Linked DNA regions of Daphnia pulex. The protein of the gene in region 2 binds, or shares a complex with, the protein of the main gene of each other region. Links are inferred from orthologs where the notes say so. Each region holds a gene or a part of one and is shown on either strand. Other genes may lie near its edges.

Evidence for each region.
Region 1: the proteins of protein daughter of sevenless-like (region 2) and tyrosine-protein phosphatase non-receptor type 11-like are in contact, whole or in part, in a crystal structure (PDB 4QSY), measured with the Homo sapiens proteins. The link is inferred for Daphnia pulex from reciprocal best matches to the Homo sapiens genes GAB1 and PTPN11. Residues at the interface, in NP_002030.2 of Homo sapiens: Lys623, Val625, Glu626, Tyr627, Leu628, Asp629, Leu630, Asp631, Leu632, Asp633; in NP_002825.3 of Homo sapiens: Gly13, Val14, Glu17, Arg32, Pro33, Ser34, Lys35, Ser36, Thr42, Arg47, Thr52, His53, Ile54, Lys55, Leu65, Gly67, Gly68, Tyr81, Gln87, Leu88, Lys89, Glu90, Lys91, Ile96.

Annotation. Positions count from the first base shown.
Region 1 is NC_060017.1:3,949,011-3,964,395, forward strand, and holds the start of tyrosine-protein phosphatase non-receptor type 11-like, read right to left. Parts: upstream 7,927-15,385; 5' UTR 7,519-7,926; coding exon 7,505-7,518; intron 7,361-7,504; coding exon 7,238-7,360; intron 7,162-7,237; coding exon 6,967-7,161; intron 6,849-6,966; coding exon 6,674-6,848; intron 6,596-6,673; coding exon 6,419-6,595; intron 5,952-6,418; exon of another isoform or gene 5,758-5,951; intron 5,677-5,757; exon of another isoform or gene 5,549-5,676; intron 5,489-5,548; exon of another isoform or gene 5,394-5,488; intron 5,333-5,393; exon of another isoform or gene 5,148-5,332; intron 5,066-5,147; exon of another isoform or gene 4,849-5,065; intron 4,793-4,848; exon of another isoform or gene 4,683-4,792; intron 4,617-4,682; exon of another isoform or gene 4,239-4,616; intron 2,707-4,238; exon of another isoform or gene 2,473-2,706; intron 2,410-2,472; exon of another isoform or gene 2,246-2,409; intron 2,189-2,245; exon of another isoform or gene 1,980-2,188; intron 927-1,979; exon of another isoform or gene 749-926; coding exon of another isoform or gene 655-748; intron 591-654; coding exon of another isoform or gene 428-590; intron 356-427; coding exon of another isoform or gene 241-355; intron 173-240; coding exon of another isoform or gene 69-172; and 1 more. Other genes in the region: platelet-activating factor acetylhydrolase-like, read left to right, coding at 69-172, 241-355, 428-590, 655-748; uncharacterized protein LOC124203633, read right to left, coding at 8,677-9,118, 9,196-10,385; type 2 phosphatidylinositol 4,5-bisphosphate 4-phosphatase-like, read left to right, coding at 12,943-13,012, 13,193-13,371, 13,449-13,658, 13,720-13,769, 14,001-14,091, 14,163-14,217, 14,283-14,368. UniProt on the Homo sapiens protein: Acts downstream of various receptor and cytoplasmic protein tyrosine kinases to participate in the signal transduction from the cell surface to the nucleus. Positively regulates MAPK signal transduction pathway. Dephosphorylates GAB1, ARHGAP35 and EGFR.
Region 2 is NC_060019.1:10,838,579-10,853,988, reverse strand, and holds protein daughter of sevenless-like, read right to left. Parts: upstream 9,376-15,410; 5' UTR 9,046-9,375; coding exon 8,968-9,045; intron 8,000-8,967; coding exon 7,871-7,999; intron 7,805-7,870; coding exon 6,879-7,804; intron 6,803-6,878; coding exon 6,420-6,802; intron 6,339-6,419; coding exon 6,223-6,338; intron 6,097-6,222; coding exon 5,845-6,096; 3' UTR 4,969-5,844; downstream 1-4,968. Other genes in the region: calpain-D-like, read left to right, coding at 10,253-10,478, 10,555-10,597, 10,674-10,928, 11,002-11,323, 11,436-11,866, 11,929-12,085, 12,150-12,336, 12,397-12,531 and 5 more. UniProt on the Homo sapiens protein: Adapter protein that plays a role in intracellular signaling cascades triggered by activated receptor-type kinases. Plays a role in FGFR1 signaling. Probably involved in signaling by the epidermal growth factor receptor (EGFR) and the insulin receptor (INSR).

The DNA.
Region 1 (15,385 bases), on a different chromosome or scaffold from region 2:
GAGTTAATTGCTGGTGAATTGTGTTTTGTAAATGTAATCAACTTACTTTGTTGTTATTGATTATAAAGGGAAGTATGTTGTTGGCTGCACCAACTTAATGACTGGTGGACCCAGCAAGGAAGATGGTTGCTTTCTTCGAGTATACTATCCTAGTCAAATAAAAGATGTATATGTAAGCGACCTTTTCTCAAATTGCTGCTGAACTTTTGTGGTTAATCTATTTACCTCTTTTCTCCAAAGGAACATTCTTCCCGTTGGGCAAGCTGGCTCCTCCACCCAAAATACGTAGAAGATTACACCATAGTACTAGGAATGATTCCTTTCTTTGGCAAGAAGCTGATATCCTGGGCCTTTGGTGTGTAGCGAAATGAAGTACCTGTTTTTAACAGAAGGTTAAAGTCAACTAATTGTGATGTATGTGAGCCAGGAAATTCATACATTCCTATAGCGTTAGATGCTGAGCTATGCAATGAACAAAGATTTCCTGTAATTGTATTTTCTCATGGTCTTACTGCGTGCCGTACTGCCTACTCAACTTTCTGCTCAGACATATCATCCCATGGGTTTATAGTGGCAGCTATTGAACACAGGTACTTACTTTAAACAAATTTGTTTTAAATAATGACATTCTCCACTAAATCTTAAATTTTATAGGGATGGCTCCGCTTGCATGACTTATAGTCTCGAAACGGAACCAAATAGTAAAGGAGGTTTAGTCGAAAGCTGGATCCCTGGAAATGACTTGTGAATGCAATGACTTTTTACCGCTTTTTACTTCTAATTCCCCTACAACTTTTATTTACTTGCTTGTAACACTCTTTCTCGACACCTCTCTTAATTATACCCCCTTCTCCCAAAAAAACGAACATTTGAATAATGGAAATATTGATTGCGGATCGGATTAATAAAATCATTGGTGATTCATACATACTAGTTATTCGTCTACTCATTGTTTTTCTTCTATTCCACGGGAAAGTATTTCCTGTGATCATATTTAAAAACAAATAAAGTTGTACATGACATTTTCTGATATCATAACGAAATAACTCAAATATTATACCTGATCAATGGTTTCAATTTCAAAGAAAGCCTCTTCGGAAGATTGCAGAGTCTGATCAACGAATGGCGCCACTGGAGCAGCGTGAGAGACAGATACGTTGATTTGGCTTCCGGTTTTATCAGTGGCTGGCAACATATCAGCCGAAGGTTCAATAACCGATCTTTCGTTAACTTCTTTGCCGCTTGTATTCTCTTGATTAATATTAAGTGCCTGGAGTGTCTCCTTCAAGCTATCAAACATTTTTTTAGATAGCGAGGTGATGGGACATGGGAGACGGAGGTTTCTGAACGCCCAATGAGCCTTGCGTAGCAACTTGGCCGCTTGGGTCACTGTTGCAATCGCAAGGTGGAAAATGGAAGTTTTGGGTCCTTGTTTACTCTTGCTGTCTTTAGTCCGCTGTTCCAAATTCTTTTCTCTTCGGATTTCTCGTTCCAGTAACTGTGTGTAACAGTGGATTGGATTATAGGACTTAATATAGACTTAAATTTTCTTCCAGCTATAACTTATCATACCGAGGTGAGCGCTACTTTATCGTTTTTGGTTACTGTCGACAAATTGTCGCTTATTTGAATGACGGAAAACCGTCCGTCTTTGCTGCAAACTGCCATGATTTTTCCGTGTTCCTGGGTGCTCAAACTTAAAAGCGGAGATTCGCTGACCTGGTTAATACATTTAAAATTTATAATTGTCAACATTTTAATCAAATTTTTTCTATTATGACCTGGGAGCATAACGTAGGAGTGATCCGCTGGGCGAGAATATCCCACAGGTAAAGAGCACCGTCTGTTGCAGCAGTGAATATGATGGACGACCGTGTGTGACTCCACGCTCCGTCCAGTAACTGGACATTTTGATTCCTACAACGCAGCAGAGTATGAAACAAGTTATTATTTGAATCTGCTTGTCAATAGACATAAGCGAACACACTTTAAAGTTAAAATGGGCGAATCGCGAATGTCCTCGGTCCTAACATTCGTGGTCCAATCCAAAACGGTCAAAAAGATTTTGGGCAGATGTAGGTGTCGATGTAGACCGTGAACTGGGCCCAAGTGTGCCTCGTATTGGCACATTATCCATTTATCCTCTCCGCTGTTGTTCGGGCTCTTCTGTTGCAATTCATCACAATACCTGCAAATTGGCAATTCATTTTTTATTTTTAGGTGAAATGAATTGAGAAATGAGCACCTTGACGTGTGCCAACTAGGAATTTGTTTGGCACGGTTTGGCATAGAAGGATCGTACTCGAGACAAGTAGCAGATAAAGCGCTTTCCGATCGAGGGATTGAACTAGGTTCCAGTAAAAGTGCGTCTATTGGCGCATTTAATTTTCGCATGTCCCACCAAAGAACCTATTATTGTTAATCATATAATCAAGATGAAATAATCAAAATGATTTGTTATCGTGTTTTTACTTGGCCGTCGCCAGAGGCGGAGAAGAATTCTCCTCCAGCCTTTGAATTGCTCCAAATAAGCGAAGTGACACTTTCCGAATGACCGACACCAATGGGGACGCATTCGACTGGACCTTGACTCTTACAAACGTCCCAAATTCCCACAGCGCCATAAATCGATCCACCAGCTAAAATGTGATGGTCACGCGGATTGAACGAGACGGAACGTAGTTGACTACATGCTGCGTAAAATTATTTCTGGTTGCACAGCTCTTTCTATTCATGGAAGGAATTATTACTTGCAAAGTTATACTGCTGAATAAAGAGACATATCATTCTCATATCGGCAAATGTCAATACCAATATTCCAGATGAAAGAATCATTTTCTTTGTGGTCAAACAGATTTTTCCAAAAAGGATCTGAATAGTTGCAGCGGCCAATTTGGTTCCTCCATATCGGGACTCCAACTAAGACTGTGACTGCGCGTTTTATCGGTGACGGATCCTTTAGCAGATGAAGAGTTCGCAGAGGATTCGGATCTGGCGTTTGTTTGTTGGAAATATAAAATTCAGCCATCCAGAAATATAAAAAAAAAGTATTAAATTAATTGATGATTACACATCGGGAGAATCAGTGAAATAATCCTCATAGATGTTAAATACATTGTTTTGCTTGATGTAATGTTCCATTTGCTACAATGGGGTAAAAAAATCTGTTTGCACTTATTAGTATAAACATCATTCACATTTATATCAATTCAACATGTCCAAGTTGTAGAACAGTACGGAAATAAGCTTCATCCTTCTCGATCTTTTTGCGGTAGCGAGCCGTTTGATCGGCTTCTTGCGGGTTGACATCGCGAGGCCATCCACCTTCCTTGTGGAAAACTCCGTGGGCCTCGGTCGTAGCACAATCCGTATTGATCTAAATTTTCCAATACGTTTTGTATTAGCTATAATGCTATTGACAAATTTAAATTCAATACTGACTTACATTAAGTGCTGAAACATCACAAGCTTGGCATTGGACTCCGATTTCTTTACTCCTTAAACCTTAAACAAAGATGTCAATTGCGGATCCGGGAAAATGTCGACAAATTGTGGCGGGTTGAAAACAGCGTCGGAGAAGTTACATTTTCTCCTGCTCAGTACATGTCGACGTACAGCACAGGTAAGATCTATCTTTGGAGGAACCGTCATATTGATCGATCTTCGTCGATCGGTAGTTCGGGACTGACAATGTAACTGGCTCCACTTTTGCAATATGAACAATTCCTGCGGACAAACAAGTACATGTCCTTGTTAGTCGCGCAGCGCAATTTCGCGTTATTCTAAAAATACAAAAAGGAAATACATTTTCTTTAGCGATTCGCGAAAAGTGCCATTTTCGTCTGCCACATGCAAGAAAAGTTTGAGGGAATGACGAATTAATCAGCACAACGCCCTTGTTGTCTATACTCAATGTCTACTACACTTTTATTGACCAACTTAGTTCTTTTTCTGAATTTGATATCGATTGAAGAAACGAAATAGATTTTCGCCTAAGGTGACATCAGAGTTGAATCGATCAATCAATCGGTCTAGACTTTTGCTTTGTCACAAAATCTTGGCTGATACCTGATATGTTCCAATTTGAAAATGTTGGATTTTCTAATACGATTGGGACTTGGGAACTATAAATATTTGATGTGTGCAGATTGTGAAATCGGTCCAATAGGGTGGCACTGTATAAACAGCCAAGAAAGCTATGTGGCTGATCAACGTCTAAAAGTGTAAAACACATGGAATAATGAATACAAACCAGTTTATTTAATTACATTTTTCACATTCATAAAATTTGAAATATAGGAATGCTCTTTAACAGAAGAGGAACACAACAGGCACAATATTCAATATTATGAAATTTTCTGTTTTTCTTAATTATTGGGTATGACAAGCATTTAAACATGACAAATGGAACTTCAAAATAGTTATAAATAAATGCGAATGTTGCAACGCTTACGCTAAGTGCAACAACCTTCGCAGTTTGGGATCTTAAATTTCTGAATCCAGACCAAGGAGTCCAACGTTGAATCGCCGCTTTTTTATGTTTCCCTTGTAAAGCAGCCTTTCTCTGTTCCATTCTCCTTTTCCTCTCTTCGTCCTCTTCCTTTATCTTACGAATACTACAACAAGATGAAACATTAATGTCATTCAGGAAATATCAGCAGAAACTTAAATGCTTAAGATACTTTTCAGCGTGCATCTCTCGGACAACTGTTTCCATTACATCTGGTGGATAGGTTCGCATCAACTTTTCTGTTTCAGTAATAAGACTATCAAATGGTAGATTATCAGGGACCTAAGATAAAACTGTAAGAACATTAATCGAAAAAGAGCTTATTAAAAAAATAGTACGTTGGAGAGCATTTGATGTAGAAGCGGCATCTCACACGGTGTCAAGAAAATATCACTTGCGCTATGCAACACGACGACAACAGATAGATACATAGAGGTCCATGGATGTGAGAACATAAATACATCAAACAATCTTACGACAGTTTCCTAATCGTTGAGAACATGGCCAAACCAAGTAATCGCCCACGGAAGGCAGAAAATTGTCCCTAGCTCCAACCTAGAATTAAAACAAGTTATTCAAATTTTAAAGAGAATATTTCTCTTTTTTTTTTTAGGGGGGGGGGAGGGGTTTCAAATACCTCATCAAATAATTGTACAAATCACGATTTTCATTTTTGACTAGTGCATACATTTTCATTGTAGGCTCCATATCTGGTCCCATAAACAGTTGGAAATGTGATTGGGAAAGTCTGCATGACACACTGTGACTTTTCTCTTCTCCTAAAACAAGCAATAACAGTGTGATGGCAATATCGTGAAAACCCTGTGCATGGAAGCATAACAAATGTAAGAGGATCATCTTCGTAATTGAATTTTGCTATAACCTGATAGTAATGGAGACCTTCATTTGCTATCAGAACTCTTATTATCAGCTCTGTGACTTTTACTTTGAGGTCTGCTTGAATATTTTCATTAATACCTAGGCGGATAACGAAATTTTAAGAATAGAAAATATACATAAAAGAAATATTATTGCTACCTGGAGGGAAGCATTCTAAAATTCATTTGACATCCAATACCACCTGGTTGTAGTACTGATGAATGATAATGCTTAATCTCTTCTGATGATAAACTCCTGTTTCCTTTAACTGGTGTAACAATTTGATTCTTAATAAATAGACAGAATAAACAAACATTTTTACACAAATGTTAACTTACATTTACTTATAAAGAAAGAAAATATGTTACCAAAGACAAAATATTTTTCACAAACAACGCCTATTTTGACTTTTGAGCCTCAATTAACCAGCAATTAACTCTTGTCTGACTTTTGGAAAAAAACAAACTGACAAGTGACAAGCAGACAACTCGAAACTGTTGATGTAATTTCCAGGCGCGTTCTTAAAACTGCAAACGCGTAAAAGTTTGTACGCAACCTGAGCCTACGCAATAACGCAATCAATAAATGACGTTTCACTTTAATTCTCTAAATACAAAATAATAAAAGTGTTTACACCGTGTAAATACATAAGATAATAATTACTTAAGAAAATAGTTACTTGTGAGAATAATTACTTAAGAAAATAATTTCTTAAGAAAACAATTACTTAAGAATATAATTACTTAAGTCGTTGCTAGTGACTTACGAACAATTGTACTAATAGAACCTATTATTTGTGAACATAATTTTAATTACTGGTGACCATAATTACTAGCGAGTATTTGACTAAATACACGTTGCATGAATTACTTAAAGCCCAAATTATTAAAAATTTTAAATACAACAGTCCATAATTACTTAAGAACAAAAATACTTGTGTCCTTAATTTCAATAAAACAAAATTTTGAAAGAGCTTGATACCATATTTACTAGTGAAAATAATTACTTGTATCCGGATCCCGTTGTTACCTGCAGTTCTTTAACGCGACTTTCAATTCCACTTGCATGAATTCTGGTTGCGTTGTAAGGCTGTTTTAAATGAACTACTGTTCCAGTAGTTTCAACCATTGGGTTCTTCTTATAATGCTCAATTAGTTCACACAGTGAATCAAATTTTTCGCCACCACCAACATCGTACTTTTGCTCCTGAAATACGAAAAAAAAAAAATGTAAAATCTCATCCAAGCTTATTAATAAAGCTTATTAATATGTTCAATATCACACCTGATATCTTATCATGACATGGGTTACTTTGTCTTCAGTTCTAACAGACAAAACATAGTCCCCAGGTTTACTTTGAGACTCCCTGACTAAAAAACTTCCATTCTTCCCTTTCTCAAGTAGAATTTTTTCTGCTTCTTTTCCAGAAAGGTGTCCATGGAACCACCTGAAAGACAGTCTAAGAAAAAAAAACATTATAAGCAATGAAAAATAATAGTAATAGACAAAAAGAACAAAACAAAATTAAGTAATTATAAAATCTTGCATTAAGAAACAGATAAAATCACTGTAACTACCTTTCAGTTGTGGGATCAGAGCAATGGACTGGGAATTTAAGTTCAATTGCTTCACCATTCTTTTCTCGCAATTGTCCAGGAGTTTCCATATAGAACTGCACCAGTTCAGACAGCGTGGCAAATTTTTCCCCTCCATATAAATCATAGAAATCTCCAGTATTTTGAATTTTGATGTGGGTAACTTCGCCATTTCTCCTTTGAAACAAAATATAAAAGTTTTAGATTAATTAAAAAGACACCTCATTAAAGAAATATTCAGTTTGATTGTTACCGAACAGACAAGGTGAAATCTCCTGGATTACTTTTACTGGGACGAGCTAAAAAACTGCCATCAACTCTTCTTTTCAGGAGAAGGAGTTCAGCATCGATTCCTGACACATTGGGATGAAACCACCTACAAAAAATCAGTCTCAGCTTAAAACAAAGGCATAACAACAAAACAATTGTAAGGTGACACTTTTTGGGTTCAACAAACTACTTAGTCAGTTACCGTGGGGAAAACATACAAGTGTTCACATTCAAGTAAGCAAATGATTACCTTCTTGAGCCCATGGATGTAAAAGAGCTGTAGACCAAGACTGAGGAAAAACTTGAAAGCTTTATCTGAAATCTAAAAGTCGCGATATTTTCCAACAACTTTTAACCGCAAAACTATATCTTGATTACACAAGGAGCTGTGGCACTGGATTCTCAAATTTATGTTGGTTGAAATCGGGAATTTCACGTAAATACTAAACAAAACAACTTTTTAGCCTTAAGGGATTTTAGGGACAGCACACTTTTTTTCTTAAATTCGTCAATCGATATCGATTAGATATCGATATGTCCAATACAGCTAAGAGAAAAATAAAAATAGGGTATCTTTTAAAAAAATCAACGACTATGAAATTACACTTAACACACAACCAACAATTGCATTTTACAGTACAATAACTTAATAAAATATTCAAGATTTCCCTATTCCTGAAACTGCTTCCAGCCATCTAGCGTCGACGAGCCAGTTTCCTTTTTATAAATAAAAAAAGGAAATGTCACTCAATAGCGAATCTACCGTTACCGTTTTGCTCTGGTTAAATATTTAAAAAAATCGCTATGTCTATTTATTGCAAAACTTATTTCTCGAACAACGGGAATACTTTTGTGTCTCAAGAATCATGTCATGAATAAGCGATATGAGGTAAGATGCGTAAAAGAAGAAGGCTTATAATAAGGTATATTTTTATTACGCTAATATTATTCAAAAATTAGTAGCGGTAGAATTGAATATAGGGCACATTGATCCGCTAGAGGCGCTGCGATTGTTCTTCATATCACCATCATAAAAATTTATATAATCAATCTTTATAGGAATAATATGTGTCACAGAATTTACAGCAACGTCACGATTTCAAACAATAAAAAGATTTACTGGCATTTATTTGTTTACGGAAATATTGAGGCAGAGTCATTCGGTTTCTTTGCGTCATCGCGTAGCTAAAGCAGCTAAAGTTAGACTCTTACATAGACCCTTTAAGAATTTACATTTTGGTGTATGAATAAGCCACTACAAAGTCACAGATAAAAACAAAACAATTAACGTAAACAAAGGATGTCAACATCGAATACTGTAACATACGGAAAAATGTTTAAGCTAATAATTAATCGTCAAAGTACAACTATAAAGACGCGTACCGGTCTACAGTTCATTCTTCATAGAGTTGAAATCGCAATTCAAGCAGTGTTGGGTGCTGTCTCTTTGAGAAATCTGTGTCGGAGGCTTGTAAGCGCCGGAAACACTCTGCCCGGTCGACTCACTTGCTGTTGTCCTGTCTTGGTCGATGACTGTTGATCCGTCCTAAAATCTTGTCTTAATGACTGAGCAACCGTAACGGCTGGTGACTGAGATTGGTAAAAGGGTAAGTTAGCGCTAGACTGAGGTGGTTGCAGGTGAGCGGAAGGCCGGTGGTCAGTTGTGTCAATTTCATTAGTCTGAACATCTTCGGTGACGAAGATATTGATGAGCTGGTCGGCATTGTGTGGACAGGCGGAATAGTATCGGGCACAAACACGATTGTTTGGTCGACCTTCGTATGCTGTGCCTAACTGTGCCGCCCTGTAATACATTTCTTTCGGGGTACCTTCGTCTTCTTCGCTTAACGCAGACAGAGGATATCTAGAAATTAAAAACGAAAACAAAAACAAATGCAAATTATAATTAAAAGAGTTGAAATAAAGATTGCGATGACGAACCCGAAAATTTCTTGCAACAGAATTTCGTCTTCAGTGAGGCTTTCGTGAGCTTTCTGATAGATTTCGCATAGCAGACGGCGACCGCAGGATTTCTCGTCAAACTGAGCGGCCATGTAGAGGTAAGCGTTTCCGTTGGTACGTGCCGCTTCAAACTCGAGTTGAAGGTCCTCGGGTGACTCATCAATAGCTTCTTCCTCAAATTCTTCACCTTCGTTCTGATTGCTCTCGTCAGCGCCAATCAACCAACTGAGACTGGAATAGTCACGCTTTTGGCGTCTACCTTCATAGCCACCTTGAAATGCGTTTGCGACATTCCCGTAGTCGGAATAGCCAGCAGCAGCAGTTCCGAAATTGGTTTCTCCTATTCCGACTGTCAGGCTGGCGACTTCGTTGCCATAACCGTTCGACGAGAATGTGTCCCTGCCACTTTGTGAGTAGGAGACAGCTGGAGCCGAGTATGCAGGATCGGGTGAATACGAAGGACTGTGCGCAGGATCGGGTGAATAAGAAGAAGAAGAAGAAGTGTACGCAGGATCAGATGGATAAGAAGATGAACTGTAGGCAGGATTGGGTGAATACGAAGAAGAGCTGTAGGCAGGAGGAGATGGTGGACCGTATGAGGGCCTTGGTGGAGGATAGTACGGCTCCTCATAACTGCTGTAGTCTTCCTCGTAAGAGTCTTCTTTTAACTTGTGAAGCGTAGCACCGAGCGCTACAGCCAAACCTAGACCGGACCCCAAGGCGCACGCACCCAGGAAGAGCATAGTTAATGGAGCTTTAAACCCAAGTAAACCTTTGGTGATGAGTTTGATCTTGAGAGCCAACATCTTAAACAAAAGGGCTTTGCCTTTAAGGAGGATCAAAGGAATCTTGAGCAGCAGCTTGCCTAGAACAGCTTTCAGTAAGAGTTTCTTTATGGCCAACAGAGCAAGAGGCTTGCCGAGCAAAAGGGCGAATTTGATTTTGGCCAGTGCCACTAAAAGCAACGGCTTGAAGAGGATGGCTTTCAGACCTAGACCAATTTTCCGTGACGAAATCACGGCTGCTAAAGCCGTCCCACCAGCATCTTTCCCTTGACTCCCTTTTCCTAGAAGCTTTTCTTTGAAGAATGGCGGTAAATGACTATGGCTTGGCTGCAAGTGTATGGAAAATAGACATAGCAGTATGAAAACTGAAAAAGTAGAACGCATTTTCTTCCGTCTATTATTGTAACCTGCATACAGGATTGATATAATTGTTGTGATTATTAAATTAACAATACAAATTAGATTGTTTTTTTTTCTCGTCTTTTCTATTCACCTGAGTTACGATTTCCAATAAGGTATTGATTTATAGCTGTCGAAAGCGGTGCACTGATTTCACATCAAACTAAAATGTAAAAAGCTTGCTGTTCGAGTGTTTCTTTCTTTAGCGGAGTGAGAAATGTAAGCAAATGACAATTTTTCTTGATCTACTATCGCATTTTATAGCCAACTTATCATCCCTAATACTCCGCCCCTTTGCAATTTATTTCGTTCTCATCTCTGTTTCTTTTTTCCATGTATATACACCCCCAGTAAAAAAAAATTGGAAGAGGACGATTGGAAAAAGTTGGGAAAAAACAAAAGAAACGGGACCACTGGAGCTATAAAGAAGGTGTCTGTTTATTATAGCTGCTGCACAAGTTAAAGCAACAAAAATAAAAATTGATCGAGTCAACCGTTGCATTTCACTTGACACCAGGATGCTGGGCTTAGCTTCTGGACATGCATTATCAAAGAGAAAGAAAAGAATATATAGCAGCAATTCGCGCTGTATCGCATCAATTGCTCGTCAGTTTTATCGAGTTTTATTTCTTCTTTTTTCCAGATCTTTAAAGAAAACAATACTTTTAGATTTAATTCCCGTTTTCTTCCTCATAAAAATGTTGTTATAAAAATAAAAAAGAGGTCATCTAATAATTGATAATGGATGGGTTCAGTACCATTTAAAACAATTTCCTATAGTTGTAATACTTGCGGGCTTGTAGTTCCAACGGCTGAAAATAGTCCGATCTATTAGTCATTCCTACCAGCACTTGTCAAACAGATTTATTAAATTATATTACTATTCAGATTTTTAAAATATTTGCTAGATTTTGGGGTGGAGATTATTCTCAATCAAGATTGCAATAATGGGAGTTATCCCAAAAATATTTCACACTGTATAAGAAAGTTTCCGATTAGAAATTATTATATTAGAAAGATTTAGTAAGATGGTGAAGTTGGCCTTCTTTTCAAAAATTTTTATATTGCTATAGAGCTATAGTGCGGCCGATGAACATCTATAAAAGATCATCTTATTTCCTAGGTTATTTTGCGGCTACGCTGCTGGTCACGTTGCTTTTCCCGACTTCCCGTGTCCCAAATAAGTTTAGCCTATATAATCAAAGTAGCTGTGCATATTTAGAAGCACGGCGCATATTTTTTAGTCACTCTATTAAGAAAAAAGAAAACGAAATTGAGAATTCGTCCATTTTATAGTGATTTTCAAGAAAAAAATCCTTGAAAACTACTCGGATGAATATTCAAAAAGAAGACTGCAGAATGAAATGATAAGATAATAAATGCTGCCTCTCTGGAAAATGCCTTAGCTGTTGCTACGATTGCGAAAGAACTGATGAATGTCGTCCCAAACTATCGGCTCCAATCTGTTGACTGTGAAACTAAAGAGGACTCGAGCCTATAATGACTCATATTGCAGCATTAACAATTTAACATTCATCGTCAGTTACAGTGTGACTTGTGAGATAGAAAGACATAACTCAAAACCGTCAAAAAGAAAAAAATAGGAATACTTTACTATTGGAAAATTTCGACCGAAAAATGGATTTCAGATTCAATTTGAAAGGTAGGCTTTATTTTCACGTAACAAATTATGAACATTTTGTCAAATGAATGAGGTATAACAGGTCATAAATTTAGAATAGGCCATAGATAGGACATTTTTTAGTGCCATTTTAATTTAAGACCCTTGATTTTATCATTTATTTTGTTAGTAAATGTCAAAAAATGGAAATGTCTGAAAACCATATGTTTGAATTTTAAAAGCACAATAAAATGCTTGCTTATCCGTCTCCGCGATCGATTTCCATTGCACCACCAAACGAGATTTAATTCGTTGGATCAGAATACAGCTACAACTGTTACAGTGCTGGCGTGATTTAAGGTTTCGGCATGGTTTCAGCAGTTTTGGTGTGGTTGTGATATACGAATTGCGAAATAGTGTTTTTAAAATGGAATTTTTCCTTGAATTTAAAAATTGAGCTGATAAAATTTATAACAATGTCAATGTCACAGAAAAATCTGTGACTTCTCTTTATTATTGCTGCCTCCCTCAAAGGTAGGAATGATAAAATAATCAAAACACGCATAATATTGGTAATTGGTCAAGAGAAAAAGCATACTTTACATAGATTACCATACAACATCGTAGCTCTCAATATACAAACGGCACTTTTTTCCTGCCGGAAATGCGATGAAATACACCGCCGTGTACTTCCTGGAACTTAGCAGATATATGATATTACGAGACCATACGATCCTAGTACAAGAACTATCAATGCCCTCTTGCGGCAAATGTTACAAGGCGTTGGTTAGGACTGAATAAAGCAAGTCAATGTTCTCGAGTCTACGTCGTCTAACAAGGGGTGTTTCACTGTTTCTTTATCGACACAGTTGTCTCAGACTCAGCTAATTCGTTCGGTACTTCTTCCTAAAATCACAAATCATGCCGTCTGATGAACGGAAACCTCTTGTCAGTCATGATTATGGGGGAGATCTGGCTAATGTTGCACAAGGTAAGTTTTTTCAAAGAGTTATGTGTCAGAAAATAGGAAACTATAGCAATCATTTAGACTTAATCGTCATCTGTATGAGTCACAATGGTGCGAAACTACCAGTTCGCTCGACAGCTTATTGGTGCCATTGTTTGAATAGAAACGTTTCACAAATCATGTAGCAGTGATTTTCTTTCTCAGAAGTTGATGAAGTTCCTCCACCTTATGGATCCACAAGTGACACCAACTCATGGACAACAGGAGCAGCCCAGTTAAACGGAAACCCAATGGTTACTTGTAGAGTGTGCCAAGCTCTCATTGATATTTCCGGCAAAAAAGATCAACATGTTGTTAAGTGTGCTGAGTGTCACGAGGCCACAGTAAGTTTTGCATTCATTTTTTCACGATGGAATTATCTGTGCATATACTCAAATCTAATAAAAAATTTGTAATCCAGCCAATTAGGAATGCCCCTCCAGGGAAAAAATATGTAAGGTGTCCTTGCAACTGTCTCTTAATATGCAAAGCTACTTCTCAAAGGATTGCATGTCCTAGACCCATTTGCAAGAGGATCATCAATCTGACACCAAACCCAACTAACCCTTCCGTTCCATCGGTTCCTGGAATGTGTCGCGTCACATGTGCTCATTGCCATGATACATTTCTGGTGAAACAAAAAGTTTTAATTGTGATTTTCTAACTTACTGATTGGTATTTTTGTTTTTTAGTTCAACACCCTGACAAATGCTTTAGCTAGATGCCCTCATTGCAGAAGAGTGTAAGTATTTTGTTGTTGCAGATTGAAGGCATTTAGTGGTTATTTAAATACCTTATTTCACACACTCACTTCTTTGAAAAACTAATTTTACTCAATTAAAAAAAAATGTCTAAAATTTGTAATGAATAGTAATTTTACTACGTTTTGCGCAACATGCAAGCCACGTAGAAAATTAAATCGTCACGTAGCATTTACATCTACAAATAAAATTTATTTTTTTATTAATTACAGATCATCTGTCGGACCGGATTTTGCTAGGAAGCGGGCCACAATTTTCTTAGTTTTAACCATGGTTTTTATTGCCATTGGTGTTGGAGTGACGGTAATCAGAACATCAAAATTTCTTGTAGAAAAACTATAGCCTGATGTTTAATTTTTAATTTTCTTATTCAGTGGGGGACTTACCATATAGCAGTGTCGAAAGGAGGAATGTATGTTGTGTACGTTGGTAAGTTTTTTAGTAATCCTGAAGTTGGTTTTTCGTATGATTTAATGACACGATCTTTCTCATAGGAGCGTTTCTGATTGCCTTGATCTTATTTATTCGAAGCATCTATTATTGGACGATGAAAGTCAGCGTGATAGAAGGTCCCATGTAATTAGCTCTTTTGTGTCATTCGAAAATCGGTCTTGCGTTTACGTTAGCGTTTTCTTTTCAATATTTTCCTTTCTTTTCACAATGATGTAAAATATGATTTGGTTATGATGGTAAGGAGGGGGATATGCATATATCGCATTCGAAGAATGGGTAAAACAGAAGTACGTTTGATGCGTAGGACATTCCAGGTTCGCATTGGTTATTTTACCTTTAATTTGGCGCCTCCAATTCTTGATTCAACTTGCAATTTCTCCTTATCAACAATTTAATTGTTTACCACCCTCTCTTCTGAAATTTCCCTATTTTACATAGCGCTCGGTCGATAATATTTGCATTTCCTTTCGGAACTCTGAGATATACATCTATTGTAACAGTCACATTACGATAGAGGATATTAATCCATGAAGCAGGCCTTATGTCATTGAGTGGGCCAAGGTTAAAACTGAATAAAAACAAAACCTAATGGCTTCCATACAAGCACTCAATTCGTTTACCGCTAGTAGTACTCCTAGAACCTGAAGTCTCGTCCTTTGGCGATCGAGAAAAGCTCCTTTCAGTGATTTCATTTGTTTTCCCTGGTCTAAAAAAATTTATTAATAATATGTGAAGGGTTCTGCCTCGTGTAAATTTGCGGCAGATCAAGGGAGTAAGCTTCATTACGGGATTAAACGTTCTACAGATATCCGTGAGTGTTGCGAGTTGGAATTCGTCTTGTTTTGAATAAATGCGCATAGACTCTTTCCGCTGTATTCGTTTTAAACATCAAGTCATGTAAAATAGTTTTCTGTCGTAATCCTGCTGGTCAATGATTTAGTAAGTTGAATAGCAAAAAGCATCGTCGACTAACTAGTGTTACCAATGTCGAACAGTCGATACGCTGCTCAATATTATGCAACATAAATCACGAGATTTTACTCGTGTTACTATTAGGCAATCATCAGACCCAAACCATTTGAAATTATGTCGGAAAACGTGAAATGAATGATTCAGGCTATGCCTTGCGATAGGATGATGCGGA
Region 2 (15,410 bases):
CTAAGCTATAAGAACTGTTTCCTGATGTTACGTGTGTGATTGCGACTACGATTTGACTATGTGTGTGTTGTTGTCGATGAAGAAACCCCAAATTAACTTAAAGCCCCTGACTGGAAAAGTCTTCCGAGTCTCTAACCGTCCGCCCCTCATCTTCAATCCACTTAAAACGTGTAGACAAGAGAATAATAACAAAAAAGGGCCTCCACCCCCCATTTTCTTTTTTGCATATTATATTGACGTAAAGTCTTACAGAGTGAAAGAAGCCAACAACCCGACAAAAGGTCACGCTAAAAATCTCTCAGACAGAGTCTACATACCTATTTATGTGTGTAGATGTAATAACAATCCCGCACACGCGAAACGTTCTAATCGCGAAACCCCCAAAGGTTTTTTAAAAATCCGATTTGACTTGAATCACGAAATTTTTATTCTTTTCACGAGATTATAACGCAATTTATTTTTATTTTTCCGGGTGTGTCTATATATAGTCCGTGGAATATTATTAGGGATTCAACAGTTTGTCGAGATTGTGACGGAGAGAAAAATCCAAATGAAGTTGCGTGTTGGAATGAAAAGGAGGAGGAGGGTATGAGTCGCTGTGTTGGGTTTATGACAGCAGCGGGGCTTCGTCAAAGTGGTTTTTCATTGCTCTGTGCTGTTGTTTGTGTGTTGTCGGGCGGACATCCGGTGTCCGTGCGGATGAGGGCACCGAGAAAGACAAAAATTCGAAGGGGAAAATGAAAAAAGTTGCCCTCGAGGGCATATTATCCTGTGTCCCCCCCCCCTTCGTCTGTATAGGTACTACTCCTTTTACGAGCCGTGTGTATTCCACCTGTGCGTTCAATCTGAAGAGGACAAGAGGTGAGCTGACCCGTTTCCGTTCCATTTCCTTCCCATCTTCATCCTGCCCCTTTTCAACTGGTTTTCCTCCATTTTTCCTATTCACAGGAAGTCGAGATTTCATTTTTATAATAATTTCTGGACAAAAATTCCATTCAGCTCAAAAAATCCAACAAAATGCCAAAAAGGAAGGAATTGAATTAAAGTCGGGGGGAGAAAGTGACGCACCACCGGCCATTTTTAAATGCCAGTTCCGGCAGCGTGAACTCCCGACACCTCCGCACAAACTTGCACAGATTCTTTTTATTTTCTTATTTTTTTTCCGGTTGTCGCGCCCACCACTCGGCCACACGTTGAAAGAAAATCGAGGGACAAGATCGAGTACGTCAGCAAACGAGCGGACGACATCCGTGACTAATGTCGCATCCATCTTGTCTATAACTGACTACTGTGTAACTTTTAATACATAGATTGAGGTGATGTCCATCCCGCTGGATCTATTTCGCAATTATTTCATCAAGTTATTTCAAATCTTTTCCAAAAAAATAAGGCCAACCCATACAACCGTGTGTGTATAATAAATACCGTTAGATGCTGATGCCATAAAAATAAAATAGCCCCTCAAAAAGTCACGTTGAAAAAAGAAGAAGAGATAAGCCGGAGCGACTGAGAAATGAACTCCAGATGGCGATAGTGACATTCAGGTCAACTTGTGAATGGGTTCTCTGTGTGGGTTTAACCGCAAGCATCACAGCATCGAAAAAATAAAATCACATCGACTTTGAAAAAAGAGAAAAAACATCGTCAGCTGATTAGCTCCGATTGATATTTTATACAGACGCATATTTGAAATCGTTATACAACGCTCGTATCAATTTAATAACAAGGATGTATACAAATAGCGTACATGACAAATGAGAGGTATTGAATATAAGCTTTGGCTACATCAAATGAAATGATTTTTCCATGAAATTCTGGCGTAGCTCTATGCTGCCGCCATTGACAATTCGAATTGATCAACCGAGTTACAAAGAAGAGCAAGAATTCCCCACAAAACAAACTGTTTTAATTTATAAAAAGGTGTAGTACAACAACAACCATTTCTATCGAGTGATTTAGATAGGTAAATCCGTAAAAAGAATGGTATGCGCCGACAGCTTGATGGAAAAAAAACATTCGTAACAGAATTCCCAACGGTACAAATGAAATCGAGTCTAACCGGTCCCGATGGCCGCACTAAATACAGACGATGGGATAGCAGCTCTTGTAGAGCTCTGGTTTTTAACATTGATTGTTAGCATGTATACGTAGGTATGCTGAGAAACTTAACACGGACATGCGATGCACGTCTCGAAAAACTATTCGGGGGAAAACTGAAGCCGCGCCAGCCGGTGTCAAATAAAAGCGGCGCGTCACAGTAATACCGACACATTATTACGTAAGCCATATGCGCAGCCGGGGAAAAAAAAAGATGTAAACACACAGCACACAACATGGAACATAATAATTTGTTTTGGACGATTCCTATTGGGTATAGAACGTGAAACCGAATTGGGTTCAATCCCGCGGGAGTTATGACAGCGCGTGCCTCAAGCCACGTGATGTGTAATTCAATCTAAAAAGTCGAGACGTTGGAATGAAATTCCATTCATTTAGTTTTGTAGAATTGAATGTTTCAACTTTGGCAACGTGATGGCGCTGCTGCCAGTAGCTGCTCGATTCCCGAAGGTTTGTATGGCGCTGAATTGAATTCAAACGAGACTTTTGCACATTGTTGAGGTTTTTAAAATTAAACAAGTTTTTTTTTTTAATTTGATTTTTTACCCGCAGATTAAGTTGTGAGGTATAAAACAAGCCTGATACCGTGCAGTCGCTCTGCAAATGAGTTGTTTAATTAACCCTGATTGATACAACAGAAACAGCAAGAGAAAACAGTTCCAGTCAAATGGCCTAGCTCAGGAATAATCGTATTCCGTAACGTTATATAACCATAACGCCACCAAATAGATAAAAAGGAAGAACAGGATTACATTGTTTCTACCTTAAAACCGAGGAAATCCACAGCCAGGCAACCACAAGTGCTCCATCCTCAGTCAAGTCACGGTTGACGCCAGTCAGGATAGGATAAGGGGGTCATCGTGAGTATACACTCACCTTCACATGGGTGTACACGAGGACAGAGTTTTCCCAATTAAACTAGGAGCTGTTTATCTAATCAAAAAATACAAAACAGGTTACGAAAAAAATATTGCAGAGACAACAACTTGGGAAAAGTTAGAAAGAAGACAGTGGTTATCCCCTTACTGTTAATAAACACGATTGCTTAAGGTTTACATGTAATACCTGGCAGTACCTTTTTATGCAAGTTTTAGGCACCATTTATATACAGCAGGTAACAGGTTAATAAAAGCAACAAAAATCTTTACCCAATTAATGATGCTGAGATTGTTGGTGATGACGGGTCAGTGTCAAAACTTGCAAATCTTGTAGTTACGATGGCTGGCTCAGTACTGAAATCTACACAAAGGTAAAGGTTATACATGGAGCAAACAAACTCTGTCATGCATCGACAACAAGCATTATTACATGATAGATGCTAGTCACTGTAGTTGGGCACCAACATTTCACAAATTTGGAAAAGGTTGAACTCTTCTAATGAGCTTCCAAAATCATTCCATTCGTATTTCGTATTCTAGTTTTATTTACCTGAGAAACAGCATGGAGTGGAGAGCATGGCCACGAGTCACGACACCAAATAAGTTTGCACGACGACCACATTTTATTTTGTTCTGCAATTTCTCTTGCAGCCACGTACACGTTTCCATCAAACCAGTGATCCCTTCAGTTTTCTATGATAAAAAATGTCTGAACCTTCGTCTCTTTTAGCTTTTTCGAAACTGCGAAACAAAAGGAAAGCAGACGACACAAATATTCTAATTAACCACGCTTAAGAAGTTAAGATATCGATATTAAAAATCCGCCCTCCGCGCCTCCCACTTCCCGCCAAAATCAAAGAAAATCAACCCCTTCCCTAAAACCAAACCGCATGGACAAATCGGGATATATATTTCACATCAAATTGTTCTTCTCGATAAGTTACATCAAGCCCACCCTGGACGGACAAGATCCGAGTAAAAATTTGCACGAAACCCGCCCTAATAACGAGCTCCAGGGTGGCTCGTTGGAACGGAGAGAAATCATCGCCTGGAAGCGGAAAAATTGCGCAGAGTTTGGTGTTTTCTTGATCTGAAGAATTTGTTTTGATGGCAATGAACAACGTCTGATTATATACCCCCACCAGCTATTTTATGTCTGTGTATTTGCATACGTCATTAGGATGCATTGGCGGAGGCTCTTCTTCCAACCGCAATTTGCCCGTCTTTATCGAAACCCGTCAAGCGCGGGAATTTTCAAAAAATTTGATTGACGCCAATAACCTCGTCTCGTGGAGATTGTACACAGACACGGGGAAATATACTGAAAAAAAGAGAAACAAAATTGCTGCAATATCTCTCTCTCTATCCATGTAGCGTGTGTTGACTCAACTGTTATGTGCTGCTGCGTGAGTGTCGTGTTTGACGAGTTGAACCAATATTGGAAACATTTCATTTCTATTTCTCACATTTGATTATTTCGGTGCTGAACATTTCCTTCTGCTGCCAAAATGAAAAATTCTAAAAACACGCTGGAATATAGTATAGACCCAAGTCGGACACAAATCCCTTGCTAACATGTGACTGTTCCAGCGGATCCTATAGGAGGTTGGCACAACTGCAGACGGGGTACAGGAGAAGACGAAAAAAAGATGGTGGAGGTCATCCAGTTACAAAGAGAAAAGCAGCGCACACGCATTTTGTCGTACTAGGTCTGACGTTATATATATTTAGACCGAGACGACGACGTGGACGACGTGCTGGCAGTGTTATGTCTGTCTGTAACCTACACACGCACCAGCGGTTTCTGTTTTCCCGCCGATCAATCGCCGCACCCCCTCGGTGAAAGCTGACGAACGAATTAAATATCCCAGACGGGATTCATACACAGATGCCGGTGAGCCGATCATGCGCGCAATGCGACACCTTCATCTTGTATACTTGCGGTGAAGGTTAACTGAAATAGAAAAATGAATTAAAGTGAGAAAAAAAAAAGAACTGTATTTACAGATAATCTCTCAAAGTGTTGGGGAAAACGTACGTACAAGAATAAAAGACGAAGCGTGATTCTTCTTTTCTTTTTCAAAAGAAATCCAAATGCAAAAGACAAAAGAGAGAGAAAGAAAAAACAAACAAAATTACAAGTAATAATCATCATCAAAAGAATTGTTTTTTTAAAGAATGAATATGCTGTTCTGCCCCACATTTTCGATTGTCATTAAATTGCCCTTTTCTTTTTGCTGTAATCGCGAGAATCGCCGCCCTTGAAACAAGTGAACATCAATTTAAAAAAAAAATAGATTAACGGGAAAGGAATAACACTCCAACAATCCTGTTGGTAATTTTTTGTTTGTTTTTGCGTTAAACAAAAAAAACTTTTATATATTGTAAGGAGAAAAGCTTCGGGCAAGTTTTTTTGAATTTGTTGTCGAAGTATTGGCCAAAATGATTATTTTTATATATATATATATGTATATATATATATACACATACACGTGCATAAAAAAGGGAATGGCTCGAGTCCATCTGTCAAAGGAAAAATGGGGAGGAGTCAAATGTGGGTGGGGAGGGGGTTGACGAAAAAACACATGGCCGACAAGGCTTGTATATGTGTGTGCCATCATCTTTGATTGTCTTTTTTACACAACGGAAATAATCTCACAGAATTGTTTTTAATCTCTCTCCGTGGGGGTGCGCGCGCGTATGTGTGTCAAATATGATTTTGTGCCGAGTGCGTGTGTTCCCTACTTTTTGTTTTCTTCTTTTCTTCTGAAAAGAATTGAGTCATTGTCTTGGATGTTTCTCGAGACATTTGAACGATCCAAAAAAGGTGGCGGTGGTTCGAGAGTGCCTATTGCGCCTTTTTGGAGCGACGCTCCTCGACGGTGAGACGTGTTCGGTTGAAAGCTTCCGTTTTGATGAAGTCGACAGTCTTGTAGACAGTCGACGAAGCCTGGTGGTGATTTTGGTGATGGTGACCCCGTTCGGGACTTTTGGGCGATTGGAGAGACGAGTCAGACTCCAAATCCAAGTCCAAATACTGGATATCGTCCAGCTGACGGCCAGCGCTAATGACCCTCGAGCCCTGAATGAAATAGTAGATCTGTAGGGGAGACACAAATGAGAAAAAAAAGGAAAGAAACCGCGGACACCACCCAAGGTTAGTTTTAGTTGGTCAGCAAAGCGAGTTAATTCATTAATTTTTTAAAAAAGGAGGAAAATGTTTTACCTGCTCCTCGTCATGGGCGGAATTGGGTCGGGTACTGCCCCGACTCGATGGATCGTCAGCATCGTCTGAACTGCTTCCGTGGAAATCGGCGTGTTGTCCGACACCAGAAACGGGACCTGAGAAGAGAGAGAAAATAAAAGATTGGCATCGTTAACAACACCCCAAAAAATCGATAGACCTCAAACGAGACCACTTACGATTGGGTTTCAACTGGCGGTTGACTGAGGGCGGTGGAAGGGGTCCATCAACGACGCCGGCCGCACCAGAGGATTGCGTCTTGGGCTTGAGTGTTCGGTTGACTGAAGGCGGAGAAAAGGGGGTCATGGGAAGGAGTGCTGGACTCGCCAAAGGGAAGGGGCTGGCCAGATTCGAATAAACGCTGGGCGACATGGCCGAAGCGGCAGACAACCCGGCCGTGACGGCGTTGTTGTTGAACGTGAAAATCTCAGCCGCTGCAGCCACAGCCGATGACGACAATTCGCCAGGTGCAGCGTTCGAGTAACAGTGCCGTCTCTGGGCATCCTTGCCCGTCTTGCCGTCGTTGCCGTGGTCACCCTGGTGCGATCGCGGGAAATCGTACCTTAAAATTTCCCCAAAAAATGAAACAATCAATTAACCAAGGTCTGCGCTTCATTTACTAATCGTTGAATAATTACCAGGAATCGGCGTTGGTCGGCGTAGGTAAAGGAGGCGATGTCGACGATGGAGAGCGTGGGCTACTGCTGCGACTGTGCGATCTGCCACCAGGAGCGACGGAAGTTGGCGATTGCAGCTGTTCCAGATTCAGATAATTGTGCGAAGGCTGGTCGATTAAATGAGGTGGTTTGGGCGGGCGAGGCGGCGGCACAAACTTCTGACTGCCCATCAATTGGGGAACTGATGGTCGTTTGCTGGCGCCAGTGGCCGGTTGCAGTCTCTTAAAAGAGTGCGCAAACTTGTCCTCAAAGCTACGAATTTGCTCGTGAACTCCTTGGTCGTTGCGCGCCGACGAACTGACGGGCTGCAGTTGCTGCGATTGACCCAATTGTGAGTGGCCGGGCGACGACAACTGTCTGGGCTGGTCGCAGAAAATGTCCCAGCCCTCGCGCTGAGGCCGGCCGCGTAAACTTTGAGTTCCGAGAGCTAAGCCTCGCGCTGTCGGCGCTGGAGTCACGGGCGCCGACGACGGCTGGCCCACCGATCCCATAGCTTCTTGAAAGACGAGACTGCGCGATCCTGAAAGGCATTCGCTCAACGGGAAATAAGGGCCCGAACTGCCGGTCGGCGAAGTGGGCGAGGTGGGTGGCGTGTCTTCCAACAACTGGCTCACTTGCAAAGTCCTCGCCATGGCCGAATGGACTCCGCTGGTGGCCATTGTCGATGACGCGTTAGGGACGGGCCGTGTCAGAGTCACAGACGAACCGGTCTCTTCATCTTCGCGATAAAACACCTTGAGACCGCAGACGTGACAGATGCAACCCACCCAGCTATTCATGTCTGATTCACTGTCGGCCGCCAAAAAGTAGACGCGCTTCGGTGTGCGGATGTCAAACATGTGGGCATACCGCTGCTTCCTACTTTCAATCGTCAGCCCGGAATCCACCTGTTACAAGAAAAAACATAATTTTAAAAATTATGTTGAACAAATTAAATTAAAAAGTCAATTCACCTGTTCGCATTGGTCCAAATCGATTTTGCCCTTTAATTTTCGACATGTTCGATCCGTGTAATATTCAAGGAAATATTGTCCAGGCAACTCGCCAGAATGTTTCAACACGAACCATCTTCTCCGCCATTTCTGTGTCACCAAAAGAAGAAGAAAAAAAAGGGATAAGAAATTGATGGGCCAGGCACACAAGACATTTTTGTATAATAATAGAAGGGTCTCCTCGCATGGGGGTTGTCGTAGAGTGAGAACGAGATCGGCAAACATTCTCATAATAAAAAAAGAAAGGGGGGAGAGGAGAAGAAATTCGATCATATCTAAGTTGAACGAAGAGGGGAGGGGAATGCCATCAACAGATCCGATTACAAAGAGTCGGTCATAGGTCAGAGAAGCGCGCATCTACCAAAACCGTGGGAACAACATCCTCCTCTCTTCCACAGATATCGAGATGATGAAAACAAAACACAAAATATATAGATCGAATAAATTTCGTTGCAGCGTTCACCACAGAAACCGGGAAAAAAAAACTCGCCCGATTGGTGGCAGCCCACAAAGTGTCACAAACAACCATGCACCATTTTGATAACAAAACAGCTCCTGCATAATTTATTTTTGGAGGAATTTTTTATCTCGGGGGGGAAATGCTAAAAAGCAGTTATCTAAGTTTATGAATCTCCAGATAAAGCTTGAGGTAAACTCTGAAAAATGTGATGGCAAGTCTTATCTTGATGTTGAGCAACCAATACAGCCCAACGCTTAAAAAAACACAGAGAATTCCAAGATTTATCAGGGACCGAGTACATGCCATGGTAATGCTGGGATCAGCTAAATTTCTACTCTCCACACATAACACAAATGGGATAATAAAGGATAATTTGGCATCTATGATTTGAGAAACAAAGAGATAAATAATAATGGGAAAATGATTGGAAAAGAAATGCTTCATCGTGACCCACTAACAGAGAGAATGGCCAACAGAAGCTTGATAATAGTATTTACTATTTAGCACTCTGAACCATGGAGTTTTATCAAGGTAAAAAGAGCAACTGTTCAATAATGAGTAACCTGTTTTAATTAAAATTGAATCAAATTACACTTACAGCTCTCCATATTCGTTTGGTGGGCGGAGACTTGACAAGCCAGCCTTCATGAACGATTTCCGTGTTGGCCAAAGCCATGGTGCCTTGTAGAACTGAGCGAAACAAAACTATACAAAACAATTGCACTTAATATTTAAGGCGTCGATTCTATTGACAAGACGACGACCATCCAATCGACGGAAAACGGGTAACAACAAAGGGGAAAAAGAACTTTTTACGACATTTTTCCAGCTCAAATTCCACAGCCAAGTTGGAGAAACACAAGTGAGCTGGGATGGATGGGATGACTAACATGACGCTGCCAGATCTCAAATACCTGACGTCTATTCTCTCTTTACAGCGTCCAAAGTTTTCCATTTTTCCTTATCTACTTTTGTATGCACAACACGATAGAATTTTGTTAAACCAATCAGTTTTTCATATCAAAATAGTTTTACTAAACGCTTTGAGAAAATGCTAATGCATTTTTATTTGTTATTTGGGGAGCGTTTTCGACTTTTCCTCCGTAGGCGTTGATAGGAGGAAAAAGTTTGAATACGCGTCGCTAGGTGGCCTAACCTATTCAAAATTAATTTGCATTTTGAAAAATTCATTGGTCAGCGACTCAACACGCTCGACGGGAATGGTCGATTTTCTATTGTTGATTTACAAATATCGATTAGAACATGATTATGGAACTGGATAGGATAGATCCTGTATTTAAGTTTGCGTTCCATTTAATCTAAGCAACACTTGTGCGCGAATACCTGTTTTCTCTAAAGCCATACAACCAAAGTTTAAAAAAAAAGAAATTTATTCGGAAAAAAGAAAAAGAAGGTAACATGCTACTGTCAAAAAATAAAAGTATAGTTGTTATTATAGTGGCGTGCACCTAAAAGTCTATGCGTGTTCTTACCACATTCACGCTCGGTCCGCCCCGCAGGTTCGATAACAAACGCGCGCGCAACGCCACACGCGATATTTGTTTTCAACTTCACGAACGATTTTTTTTTTCCTTATCTGCATCACCTATAGCACTGGGTGGTGATGAAGAATTCATGTCAAGTGGCGACTCAGCAAGTGTATCCTACACCTTATTGGCTGCCGCTTCAGTTAACAGAAGGGAGACCAGCAGAGACGAAATACCTCAGGAGGGCAGGTCGATCGATTCAGGATCAGCTGATCGCGGCTGTCAGTCGGACAGGGAAATTTCGTCTGGATCTCACAGTTTCTTTGTCGATATGTTTGGCTTGTGCGTTTTATTTAATTCTTGATGTTTGGCTTTTTAAAATCGGATTAGTTTTAAATGGGTACGATTGCCTCAGTCTTGCAATGGAAATGTGTGATATGCCTACAAGTTAATCCAACTGAAAAGAGCTGTTGCTTCAATTGCGGGGCAAAACGATCTTGTACAATAGAAAAAGAAGAAGACCGTCCAATGTGTTCACCAGTCAACTTTGAGGAAAACAATCGGTCCTCGAAAAATCATTCACAACTTAAACATTCTGTCTCCTACTCTAGTTCTTCATCAGGTATTTAACGTTTTAATAATTTATCATCTGCTGGGTGGGAATCTCTGTTATTCCATTATTACTTGTGTATTCTTAGCAAAATGGACTTGCCCTCACTGCTTATTTCTGAATGTGGCAAGGTTAGTTTGAACAATCATCAATCAATTTCTTTTTGTTAGAACCTATTAATAGACAAGATATACCAACTTTTTATAGTGCTCAAGATTGCATGACTTGCATGACCAGCAAACCTAAAGGAATTTCAGCTAGTCAAGAGCAAAATCAAACTCTTCAACAGCCAAACAACAATAGCTCAACATGGTCTTGCAAACGCTGCACATTTTCAAATCTTATTGATCTCCACTGCTGTGAGGTTTGTGAAGCACCTCGCTCTCCCAATATCCCCTTAACATTACCACGAAAACCCATTATAGTTAAATATGGAACATCAGGATTGGACTCAGACAACAAGTATGTATTGTATTTTTAAACTCTATAGTGTTATGAGCAATAGCATAACTTTTTTACTTGAAACTAACAAAAGGGAATTGTTTGTGCCTGACAGCCATTCCAAAGAGGCAGCCGTGAATGGTAGGAAGAACGGTACGGTGGTCGTTAATCATCAGTACGACGCGAGCTGGACATGCAAAAAATGCACTTTAATCAATCCAATCGGGGAAAATGTTTGCTCTGCGTGTAGCTGCTCACAACTGTACAGCGAGAAGAAAGTAGAAAGTCAAGGCTCTGCTCATAGTCCCACGAAAAAAGACACCTGGTCATGTCCTCAGTGCACGTTGCTTAACTCACACTCGATTTCCAAATGCAGAGCATGTAAAACCGCTATGACTCCGCAGTCCCAGACAAAGGTACGTAGATATTGCAATTGTATATAGTTTTCATCTTATTATCCTTAATATTTTGTAGCGTTTCTTATTTTCTGAAATTTATCGATTATCGTTTAACTTAATTTTATAACAGGTTGGAACACCGACCATCGGCAGCAGCCCGATTCCTTCTTCGCCAGCGAGAAACATTCCGTCATCAAAGCGTACTCCCGATTCTGCGATGGGAGGATGGCAATGTTCTGCTTGTACATTTCACAACAAAAAGTCTAAATCGTACAGCTGTGAAATATGCCAATCCAGTCGAAGTCTGACAGCTCTTTCGCCACCTGCTCCGGCCGCCATCTCGCGCCATGAAAGTGAGCCGTCCGCTTCTCTCCGCCACACGGAAGAGGAACAAGCGCGTCTCAAATGGAAGCGTATTGTTGGCTTTTGTCGAACCAGTGGCGATAAATTTGTCGACGATTCATTTCTACCTACTGGACGCTCTTTGCACAACAGCACTCAAGAAGGGGTTCAATGGCTCCGACCCAGTCAAATAGTTAGCAGCGCTGCTTCCCATGTCAAGTAAGAAAATGGAATGTTCAAATTCATACCAATCACGTTCGCTCATCACAATTCATTTACAGGTGGGCTGTTTTTCGTACCCCGTTGCCATCCGACATATCTCAAGGAATCCTGGGTGACTGCTGGCTATTGAGCGCCTTAGCAGTGTTAGCCGAACGAGACGAATTAGTTCAAAATGTTATGGTCACACGGGAAGTCTGTAACGAAGGCGCTTATCAGGTTCTTATTAATTTCAATTGTACTTCTGCTGTGCGACCCATAATCTAATTTGTATTTATTACAGATACGCTTATGTAAAGATGGAATGTGGCGAACTGTTTTGGTTGACGATTTGTTGCCTTGTGACCAACGTGGACATCTGCTTTACTCTCAAGCTAAAAGGAAGCAATTATGGGTGCCGCTAATCGAAAAAGCCATGGCGAAAATTCATGGAGGCTATGGGGCCCTTGTTTCGGGTCGTTCAATCGAAGGTAATTTGATCCGAATCGTTTTAATTAAAAAAGTACGTACTTAACTCTTGATTACGTCAGGTCTTGCCTCGCTTACAGGAGCCCCTTGCGAGAGCATTTCCCTCCAGCCATCAACCAACGGAAGTAACAGGGAAGAAGCTGAAGTTCTGGATGAAGATTTGATTTGGGCACGACTCCTCAGCTCTCGCACTGCAGGTTGGTTAACCTTAATTCGCATTTGGGTAATGTTATTATCATTGTTTCGTTTTGCTTTTAAAAGGTTTCCTGATGGGCGCTTCTTGCGGTGGTGGCACAATGAAGATAGACGAGGAAGAGTATCGCCAAAAAGGACTGCGACCCCGGCACGCCTACTCCGTGTTAGACGTTCTTGATTTCAGTTCCAAAGGTGGTCCTCGCCTTCTCAGGTCTAAACATGACTCTCTTGGCTTTCTTGAAACTTTGATCTAAAAGTTGGAATTGCACTTTAGGATGCGTAACCCATGGGGTCACTTTTCTTGGCGTGGTGACTGGGCTGACGACTCCAAACTTTGGAACCCCGAACTTCGTGCCATTTGTATGCCGCACGGGGATGTGGAAGGTGTTTTTTGGATATCATTCCAGGTAATTTAAAAGGAATTCTTCTCTTTTTTATTACGATAAGATTTTATTTTTCTTGGAAGTAAAAGACACAAAGAAATTCCAAAACTTTTTTTTAACAAACCGCGTTGAATTTCAAATTGGCGTGCTTGGAAAAAAAAACTTGCCGTATCGGAATAAAAACTACTGGTTACACTTTTCAAAACTGTTGTGGTGACACGATCTACCGAAGAACCACTTTTTGAATTATTTTTGTTAGAAGGAGACTATATAAAATAACACAGCTGTTCATACATAAATGAGCACATGGCAGTGTGCTATACGAGTATCACGCACTGACCATCCGTTCTTTACGATATTCTTTACATGACTGGACTATCCCCTACTGTTCCTTAATGATATCCTGTGTGCCTACGCAATCTGGATTTGTTTGTTTGTCGATAAAATCTCAATCGATTAAACAATAAAACCGCATTCAGCAATGACCCATAGCGGCATTGCCGAACCAATTGTTGGGATCTCCTCCCTGCGGTTGTTAGGAGCACGTGCTCGTAGGGCCCTTTATCAACTGAATGGGTGAATGGGCAATATTTCACTGAAATGTTTCTTTTTGGTTTTCTCCACAGGATACTTTGGTTTTCTTTGATTGCATTGATGTCTGCAAGGTGCGATCAGGTTGGAGTGAAGTTCGATTGCCTGGTCTCTTGCCTCCTTGCGCCTTTTCAGACCATGTTTTGGCCGTCCTAGTGACGGTGGTTGAGCCAACCGAATTGGATTTGAGTTTATTTCAAGAGGGCAGCCGACACACGGACAAGTCACAACGCTCACCCGTCGATCTCTGCGTCGCCCTTTACAGAACTGGCTCAGTGGCTGCTCCCCAAATTGGCCAATTAGTTGTGCACAGTCGACGGCAACTGAGGGGTTTCGTTGCCACCAATGCATTCCTGGAACCTGGATTGTATCTCATCGTCTGTCTCGCTTTCAATCACTGGGATTTGAATCCAGTTGAAGGTGCCGTCACCCACTACCCGCCGTGCGTCTTGGCATTGCACAGCAGCAAGCGACTTCTTGTAGAGCATATCACTCCTTCACCATTTGTTTTGGCTGATGGACTCATTAGTTTGACTATGGCCAAAGGCCAGCGCTACGAGGTTCGAAATGATCTTTTACCGTTTAAAAATATGTTCTAAATATAAACTAAATTTTTGTATCTATAGGGAAGAGAGGGTATGACTGCTTATTATCTCACTCAGGGTTGGGTAAGTTATCATTGTACATTTTTGTAGACAATTTCTATTTTTAAAACATTTTCCTTTTTGCAGGCCGGACTAGTAGTTACAGTGGAAAACCGCCATGCAGATAAATGGTTGCAAGTCCGTTGCGACTGTCAGGAAAGCTTCAATGTCGTTTCTACTCGAGGAGCTCTGTTGACAGTAGACGCAATTCCACCACTGCATAGACAAGTGCTCTTGGTTCTAACTCAGCTGGAAGGCGGTGGTGGATTTTCTATTGCACATCGTCTTATACATCGTCTTTCTCCTCAAGGCGGTCTTAATGATTGGGGGCCTCCAGGTGAATCTCATCAGCCTTTACTGACCTCCGCCGTTACTGGGTTACACACTCCTCGACCAATTTGAAATGTAGGATTACTTATCGGAAAAATTCCAACCAGTCATCACAGTGAAATCGTTTACCCCCAGCCCTCCCTTTTTCAAAATTACTATTCAAGTTGCGATTTTAAGGATCCGATCATTTGTTCTCTAAACTCAATTTTATAACAGAAAAACAACCTTGGGTAGTGCTAGCAATTTGCCTCGCGTATCGCTCTTTATTTGAGTTTTGTGTACGTATTCGGACTAACTAACCTAATGTGTGTGAGTGCATCACAAAATGTAATGAGTGTAGGTGAAATTTTAATGTACACTGTACGAGTCTCAAAGTATCGCATACTATTCTGCCATTTTGTTTGTAAAATACATACGTATCATCAAGTGAAAAGTTTACGAATTTAAATGTATCGTTGTCTGTATTAATGACGAGATTAGGTATGACAAACAATAGCAGAACTTAATTGTGTGTACGGCTCAGGGACGGACATTGAAGTAAGAAATCTAAACCTCATCTCTTTAGCAACAATGAGATGCCGCCCGTCGGATATGTACCTAGCAAAACATCAGAATTTGTAAACAGTAGTTAGTGACTCGTGTTGTTGGCTGGATTCGACTTCCGACTGAAAATAAAGATATAATAAAGTAATCCTTGAATAAAATGCAAACAAGTCCAACCTTCCGGTATATCGCACCCACCATTCTATCACCAAATTCGTAGATTCTAAATAGAACAAAGAAACGAGCATTAACATGCCGACCTCCTGCTGAAATGGCGGAGAATTAAGAAAATCAGAAGTGAATCAAAAATCGCAATTTGTATGTCGACATTCCACAGGGCATTTTTTTTTTGGCGAGATGGAAGCTATTTTTCTAACAAACATAGTCCGT